Cricetulus griseus: one gene and its partner. The protein of the gene in region 2 purifies or fractionates together with the protein of the main gene of each other region. This does not show direct contact. Links are inferred from orthologs where the notes say so. Each region holds a gene or a part of one and is shown on either strand. Other genes may lie near its edges.

Evidence for each region.
Region 1: the proteins of Cyld (region 2) and Spata2l purify together in Homo sapiens (affinity purification with mass spectrometry; 3 studies listed by BioGRID and IntAct, with this or other methods). This does not show direct contact. The link is inferred for Cricetulus griseus from reciprocal best matches to the Homo sapiens genes CYLD and SPATA2L.

What each region holds. Positions count from the first base shown.
Region 1 is NC_048596.1:199,898,505-199,903,326, forward strand, and holds the start of Spata2l (spermatogenesis-associated protein 2-like protein), read right to left. Parts: upstream 3,009-4,822; 5' UTR 2,920-3,008; exon of another isoform or gene 2,670-2,919; intron 2,560-2,669; 5' UTR 2,559-2,559; coding exon 2,256-2,558; intron 744-2,255; coding exon 1-743.
Region 2 is NC_048596.1:164,369,388-164,373,479, reverse strand, and holds part of Cyld (ubiquitin carboxyl-terminal hydrolase CYLD), read right to left. Parts: coding exon 4,003-4,092; intron 3,159-4,002; coding exon 3,050-3,158; intron 2,259-3,049; coding exon 2,140-2,258; intron 1,846-2,139; coding exon 1,629-1,845; intron 52-1,628; coding exon 1-51. UniProt on the Homo sapiens protein: Deubiquitinase that specifically cleaves 'Lys-63'- and linear 'Met-1'-linked polyubiquitin chains and is involved in NF-kappa-B activation and TNF-alpha-induced necroptosis.

The DNA of each region.
Region 1 (4,822 bases), about 36 Mb from region 2:
CCATAGGCTGAGGTTGGTGCTCCTTCTGCCTGCCTGTGTCGGGGGCTGGCCTGCCCAGGGCTCCCAGGGACTTCAGGGGTAGCTAAGTCTCCTGAACGACTCAGCTCACGGCGTAGAGAGAGGAAGGAGAAAGCAGAGGGTTCTGGCTCCAGTTCCTCTTCCAGAGCCCCATATGGTGGGCTGCTGGCCCGGTGCAGATCATCAGCTTGGGGTTCCCAGGGCTGGCCCCCAGAACCCCATAGTTTGGCACTCTGTTCCCAGAGTGGTGGCCTATATGCCAGGTCTACAGGGGGTGAGTCCAGCCCTGGGGAGGGCTCACCATACAGACTGGCTTCTGAGCTCTCATCCTCCTGCAGGTCCTGATAGAGGTCCACTGGGGCCCCATAAGCAGCAGGTGTGCCCCGGGGAGGTAGTGGTGGTGGCTCTTCATCCTGGGCCAGCCGCTGCTGCAGCCAAGCCACACAGGAGGCAACATCCCCGCTAGCCCGTCGTGCTCGGAGCAGCTCCTCAGCTGGTAACACACTTGTGCCCAGCTGAGTTAGCACCTCACTTAGGATCTCACACTCCAGCCGAAGAGCAAAGCAGCCTAGGGCCACCTGAACCAGCTGGCAAGCAGGGGGTGGGGTGGTCACCATTAGGCGGTGGTTGTCCCTGCGCACGTAGCCCATCTTCTGGAAGCTTCGAGTCAGGAGCTCCTCAGAGAGTACGCCCTTCAGCACATGCACATAGCCCCCTGAGAAGGTCTGCAAGGAAGGGTCCTGGTCAGGAATGCTCTTCCATAGAGCTTCTTGGATGTAACCTGTGTGGACTCAGTGCAGCCTTGACCTTGGTTCACTTCTGAAGTTTGTGTTCACCCCCAGAGACTGTTTTTATCTGCTGGAGTGAGCTTGGATCTTTTTTCTCTCTAAGGGAGAAGCCTTGTGTATACTAAGCAAGTACTGAGCCACTGAGCCATATCCCTAGCCTTTTATGCCCACCCCCCACCATGATTTATCAAGATAGGGTTTCTCTGTGTAGCCCTGGCTGTCCTGGAATTCAGAGAGCCACCTACTTCTCTGCCTCCCAAGTGTTGGGATTAAAGGTGTGGGTACCACCCTCTTTTATTTTGAAACAGCTTGACCCTAAACTCAACATCCTCCTGCCTCGGCCTATAGGAATACTCTGTCCTTTCTGTTGTGCACCCCTCCCTCCATTAATCCTGGTGATCTGTCACTATCGGACCAGGCATTTTGCTCTCACTGTCCCTTGCTGTGTCTGATGTGCAGCTGGTGAGAGGACCACACTAACAGATGGGGATGTGCTTTCTAGATCAAAGCTACATAGGGAACCAAGGTAATTATGGATCTTTTCCAAATGTGGAAGTCTACCACTCCAGGCATCCTTAGAGTACTTCCCTGCATAGACCCTTTAAGAAGGGGTCGTGGGTACATGAGGAGCTCTGGTCACAACACCCTTCTTAGGTCTTTGTACCTTGACTATTCTCTTAGGAGAAAGGGGCATAGAGGGTGTAGAGGTAACTTAGCTAAAACCCCACAACTAGGAGACTACCTGCACCAGCTCCTTCCCAACACTCCCAGGACCAGCCTATTTCAAGGCCAACCTTAACAGTCTTTGTCCTCTGGGCGGGTAGGCTGGCCTCTAGCCTGAAAGAATGAATGAAAATTCCAAGATCTCAGTTGCTTCAGGGGAGCAGCAAGCTGGTGGGGCAGGGAGAGAAAAGGGTGTGGAGGGGGAGCAGCTGCTATGGCAACCAGTGGAGGTTTACCTCGCCCACGTGCTCACTAACGTCATTGCCTTCCCACTCAAAATTAGCTCAGAGCGGCCCTGCCCCCCCCCCTTGGTGGTCCATCAGCTGACCAAAGGACCAGGCCATTCCTGGACCTGGCCGCCTAACCTGGACCCAGGCAGGACCAAGGTCCATACTCCCCAGTCCCCGGCCGGCTGTTCTCTTCTTAATCTTAGTGGCCTCCTCTTACAGATAGGATCAGTCCACATCTTGGAGTTAGGATGACCACAGGACATCAAGTACCTCCCTCACCTTCCCACCCACGTCTATCCTAGAATTTCCATAGCAACTAGGGCAGTGAGACTACTTTGAGGACAGCAATGTAAGTTTTAGGTGAATTGACTCCCTGGTAGGCAAGCATCCCAACACGCCCACGGCCCCTCAGCATGGAACTCTTCCCTGGAGAGGACTGGCAGCCCCCAACAGCCCGGACAAAGGAAGGAAGTGGAGGAACATCGCCAAATGATACCTTGATGGTGGTGAATTCCTTTCTCCAGGGCAGCAGGTACAGGTGCACAGCGGCCAGCTCCAGGAGTTCGAATGCGCGGGCCAGATCGCGTAGGGCAGGCCCCAGGTCCGCACGGCCCCACAGGCCGTCAGTGAACAGCGCCAGCGCGTCGTCCTGTAGCGCCCCGTGCAGGTCAAAGTCCTCCACCAGAATTTGCCAAAGCACCGCGCGCAGCGAGGGGTCGCCGCAGACGCCCGCGCGGCCCCGCCGCAGCTCGCGCTCCAGGCACTGGCGATAGTCCTCTGACAGCGAGCTGCTGCCCATCCTGACCGAGCGCGGGACGAGGTGTCAAACTAGAGACCATGTCGCCTCAGCTGTGCGACTCCCGAGCCCGCACCCAGCAACCCCAGGGCCCCCTCCAACCTGGAAACAAACCTTGGCGGCTTAGCGAATCTCAGAACCTATTGTCCCCTTCATCCAGGAGATGTGGACGCCGACAGTTGGGTGACCAGGGTATCTTTAGCTTCCCCTCCCCAGGAGACCTTCAGCCCGACTTGCTGAGCGCCCTTGTATCAACAGCACCCTCCTCCAGTGGATACCCGCTCCCGCCAGCTGAGCCTCTTGCAACCAGAGCCCCTTTCCCACTAACCGACCATACTGTAGACCCCGCGGGCGGCGGTGCTACCTGCTAGTCCCCAGCGGTCCCAGAGAGCTCTGCTTGGGCCTGGGTCTAGCCTCTCGCTTCCGCAGAGAGTCAAGCCCGCCCCTTGGCCTTGGTCGTGACGTCGGGGGGCGAGGCTGGAATCGGGTGCCACCCTTTCGGCTAAGTGGGAGGGTGGCGGTGTGGGCGTGGCCTGCCTTGGCGGCTCACCTTTTGAGGTTCTCTGAAATTCGCCAGTCTCCAAGTTCCTAGTCCTTCAACTGGTCTGTGGTCGTTAATCGCCTGGTTCCGAGCCAGGGAGTGGAAGTGCACAGTGGGTGTATAATACAGGTCACTGAGATATACCTAGTAAAGCCTCATCGGGTTGAAGATCAGGCTGAACTCTGGCTTCTTAAGCCAACCCGAAGAATAGTCAAATACCCGCGAGGCGGAGCTGACTTGGCTGGCAGATCGTGGACCAAAGGAGCTCAAATATATATTTCTTTAAATGCAATTTAAAACGGGTGGGGTGAAGGATTGCTCTGTGGGTAAGAGCAACTTACATGGCAGTTCACAACCGTCTGTAACTCTAGTTCCCAACACCCACTTCTGGCCTCTGAATCTGGCACACATTTGATGCACATACATGCAGGCAAAACGCTCATACACCATAAATAATAACAAAACAAAATGGGTGGCGTCAGAGTCTGACTCTGCAGGCTTTGTTTCCCAGTCCGTAAGAAAAGTCGGTTAGTGGGTATCTGAGGTAGGATGAAGGTGCTCACCCTCCTGGACAAGGTGTTTCCTTAAGTGCGTGACCTGCAGTCATTCAAAACTGACCTGGGTTGTGAATTCAGGGGAACTGTCCCCTGTCTTGTGGTTTCATGTGCTTCATTCTGAACCTAAGGCACCTTCCCCTTAATCCTGAGACCTAAGCTTCATGCAAGCGGTATCTTCTGTTAGGTCCCTTCCTGGACAGGCTGTACCTCTCATGTCTCCAGGTCACTAGACCTAGGCTAAGTTTGATGAAATAGAACCCAGCATGGGAAAGGTATTTGCCTTCTTGTAGAATCCCTCTGATTTTTTTTTTTTTTTCGAGACAGGGTTTCTCTGTGTAGCTTTGGAGCCTATTCTGGCACTCACTCTGGAGACCAGGCTGGCCTCGAACTCACAGAGATCTGCCTGCCTCTGCCTCCCAAGTGCTGGGATTAAAGAGTGTGCCACCAACACCCAGAGAATCCCTCAGATTTGACCGACTTAAAATAGTGAAACTAAGTATGCAGCTCTCCTAAGGCATCCTGGGGCTATCACCGAGCTTTTTGCTGTGGGCCCACACCAATCCAAAGGGAACAGTGGTTGGCTTTTGAGATTGGTTCAACTCACAGAGACATTGTTGGCCAAATCATAATGTTTCCATGCCTGTCTTGTTTTAAGATATTCCTGGATCCCTGTATAATGTATACAGCCCTGTATAATGAGGGAGTTAGCAGCAAAATGAAGAAGCCTTTGGGGCTGGGGCTCAGAGGTAGAGCATTGCCTACTATGTGCAAGGCCCTATGAATATAAGCTCTATGAATACGGAGCCAAAGATGGGATACAGCTCCAAGCCAAGGAATTCTGAAAGGCTCTATCTAGGAGCTGGTGGAAGCAGGAAGGAGCCTCCACTAGTGTTTTTATAGGAAGTGCAGCCCTGGTGATTTTAGATTCAAGGCCTTCAGAGTTGTAATGGTACATTTCCATTGTTTTGTGGTGGTTTGTTAGAGCAGTTAGAGAATACTCATACAAGTATTATGTAATTCTGTCAGCTTTAGATGAGGTCCCTGTTAACCATCAGCATTGCCTTAAGAAAGATCTTCCAACAGACTCAACTTCTTGTCATCAGTTACAACCTGGGAATTGCCACAGCTGGTGAGAGGATGCAGGTAGACACAAGCTCTCCTCATGGATC
Region 2 (4,092 bases):
CCACTTCCGGGCAGGGTGTCACTTGTGGAATGTTGAAACCATTCTGACCACCTACGGAGAGAGGAGAACTCTCTTTGTGAGCAGCAAACTTCTAAGTCCTCTTGGCACCCTGTCCCACAAGAACAATTTTATTATCCTAGAATTTAGTGAAGACTGATTCCCAGAACTGAGGGGGGCAGGGGCTTTGTTTGACTTTCTGTCTCTAGAATTACAATGTCCTTTTTTGGTTTCTGAGAGGGTTCAGCAGACAAAAGAGAATAAAATTGGTAAAAGGACAAGTATTTAGGAAAAGATGCAGCCCTTATTTGCAGGCTGCTACCCATGTGTACACACAAAACCTCAGCCCTTCATACTTTTATGTCCATCTCAGATATTAGCAGCCTGACACTTTTCCACAAGACTATCCAATTTTGAGCAAATCTAGTAATTACAGACTACTGTTTCCCTGAGTTTTAAGGACATACTTGCACACCTCTAGCACTGTTGGTTTACATACTGATCATCAGAATATGCATGATCATCTGATAATGGATTTGCTTTCCCAAGTGCTTTCCTAAATGGTATGCTGCTAATGCTAAATGGATGAAGCACATGCACAGGAGGGGTAGGCTGTAACCTCAGGCATCTGAGAGCTGAGGAGAGATAGAGAGCTGTTGGTCAAGAAGCTGCCAGTAGAGATGGCCCAGAGGATAAGAGCACTGCCTGCTCTTCCAGAGGTCCTGAGTTCAATTCCCAGCAACCACATGGTGGCTCACAGCCATCTATAATGAGATTTGTGCCCTCTCTGACCTGCAGTCCTACATGTAGGCAGAACACTGTATACATAATAAATAAATAAATCTTAAAAAAAAAGAAGAAGCTGCCACTAGGTGTCTCTGGTTATTGGAGAACCACATCAGAAGCCCTGGGGGACTAGGGCTTGGGAAAATAACTGTAGATAAAAGGTGGTATGTGGGGTACTGTGGCAAGTACCTTACTACCAAAACCCCTTGAGATTCTGACACTCAAGTGTATACTAAGTAATAACTAAGCTTCCTAAAAATAGCTCACTGAGTAAAGGTTTCTTCCTGAAATGGAATACATGAGATCAGGAAGATGGAGTTAAATACAAACTATGCAACCTTCACATCTTAAACTTTAGCTTTAAACATCAAAAAAAACAGGCATGATTTCCATGACCAAAGTATCCCACAGAGCTTAGCATTTACATCCTCAATAAAATGGCTACTATACTGTATATAAAAAGGAAAGGAAGTAGATGGTAAAATCAGCTCTAAAAGAAGAATTTTAGGAGTCTATGTTTTGTTGTGTTTTTTCTTTTGAGGTGGAGCAAACAGAAACAGGTTCTCATTATGTAACACAAATTGACCTCTAATTCACAATCCTCTACCTACCAAGTCTGAGATTATGGACAAGACTCTTTAACAAGTCTGTATAAGGGCCAAGATGTCACAACATTATTGTTACTTAGTCTGAGTACAGATTTATTAATACTCTTTGAAAATTAAAGTCTGTAACACTATGATATCCTTCAAAGAATTCTCTCAAAAAATACTCTACTACTCTAAACAAGTGCTCTCGATAGCTCACTAGGAAGCATCTCACCCTAAAAGAAAAGTTTTAAATACCATCTCGATCAGCCATGCTGTCAAAGAAGAGCCAGGCAGAGTCATCCTTCCCATACTTCACAAAAGCAACATAGTGGCTCGTTTCTATGCAGAGAACAGCAAATAACTCCATCTTCTGACAGGGGATGCAGCCATGTCTCCAGTCCCAGTCAGGCAAGTCTTTGGGAAGTGATACTGGATGATATGTATGATTCAACCTCCTGGGATGGAGGTGAACCTAAAATGGACCATTAAGAAAATGCCACACATGAGCTAATGCTGTATTTCAAGGGGATAGACTCTAATCACTTTCACTGACCACATCTCTTACAAACACAATCAAGTACTACACACACACACACACACACACACACACACACACACACACACCAGCAGATGAGACATGAGCAATAATAATTATTGTGAATGTTTAAAGTACACTTAGATTCTGAAAGGCTTTCAAACCCTGCAATGTACTGGACCATCAGCAGCTGACTGCTGCAGAGCACATGCACCAGTGAGTGAGGGTTACCTGAGTGCTGCAGGTCTTACAGAACTGCTTTATCTTCCCTGCTGAGATGTCGGGGTCATCATAGCACTCTCTACACTCATACATTGCAAGTCCTCCACAGATGCGGCATTGCCTGGGAGCTACCGGATGCAGAGAGGGAAGGAAGAAGCCTTTTTAGAAGATATTCTGTTATTAAAAATAAAAGCTATCCTTTGAAAACAAGAATGCTGGGGGGAGTCTAGCCCTCTCTAACCCTCTTAAAATTTCACTTGGATTTTCTTGTATTTGTAATATTTTTCAGGACTTTTTTCCCCCCAAATAACCTATTCTAGAATTGTTCCTCTGGTCATGAAATGTCCAAAGATATAATATATATATATATATATATATATAATATATATATATATATATATATATATATATATGAGAAAACCAATAGCACATATGGTCTTAAGTCAGTGACAATCTCTACCATTATGAACTTTCTCTAACAGTTTTATGTCCTAGTATTTATATAACTGTGTGTACCCAAGTACACGTGTATCTCAAGCACCTCTCATCCAGCCTCTTAATGCTTTCCCTTCCACTAACTACCACACACCACTGTTTTCATATGTGTTGCCCTCAAACCCCTGGGTCTTAATGATAGTAGGTCCATTGTTTGGATATATAATCCAATTAACCACTTCCCTCTTATTAACATTTATTGTCTCTAATTTCTTGTCAGATAATTAGTGATTTTGTATTTAAAATATTTATTTTTACTTTTACTTTTTTCAGAATAAATTCTCAGCACTCAAATTATTGGCTTAATATGCCCAAGCTCTTCCGATACTGAATTACTTGTCAGAAGTACTGTATCTATAACTAATGAAAAGTCCAGGCCAACTATTTCTAAAAACCAGAATAAAACAAAGGGCTGTATACTTACTGTCTTCAAGCAAATCTGTTATATTTAATTCCAGGGAAGGAAAAATTTTTTTAAATAGCTTAAAGTCTTTTCCAAACCGAGGCATCTGGATAATCAAGCATGATGGTGCCTTAAAAAAAAAAAAAAGATACATAGTTTTAGAAATCAAAGTCCTAAGGAACTGGGGACTCAGCTCAATATAGTGCTTACGCAGAATGTCTAACACCTTAAGTCCTATTCCCTTTACTAATAGAGGAAACGTGTAAAAAAGTTTCCCTATGAAACTGAAATAGTCATGGCTGTCAAACCAAGCAGTGATTTCACCAGTGTTGTTGGCCCATGAAACGGAGCCCACTTGTGAATGTGCAATGCGGATGCAGTGCAGCACTTCCAGACTTTCCTGTTGGACATAATCATAGATAATGCTACCTAAACATCAGCAAAGAAGGCAGTAAAATACCACCTCAGAGATGAACATAATAAAAACAGACCACAGCATGCATTACTATAAATCATCCACTCAGAATCAAAGAAACTGTTCTACTGCATTTATTAGCAAACCCATGCAGAACTTACTGGCATCTTATCTCTTAACATTACCTTTGACACATTTAGATAATATGCATGGGTAAAATGACAACTAAAAACATAAATATGTAATGTGTATATGCATATCTTTGGCATTAGACTACTTTAAAGTTAAAAGTTAGCTTTTCTTTCTTTCCAAATACAAAACATTCCAACTTAAGCTATGGGGCTTTCTTTTAAAAGAATGAAGTTACAACACCACTTTTTAAAAATGTGTTTTCTTAACTGTTTCTTCAAACTATTCTTGGTTAAAGCACAGTGAGAGCTGGGTTATAGTTAGTGGGGCAACACGTGGTCGAGTGTGTACAAAAGTCCTGGGTTTAATCCCCAGCACTAGTAAGAAACAAAATAAAGTTAACAATAAAAATCCAGTTAGAATCACTAACCTCTGCAAATTTCAGGTTGCTGTTGATAAAAGACCATTCTAGTAACTGCTGAATTGTAGGAACTCCAACTTTCTCATTTTTTTCCATAAA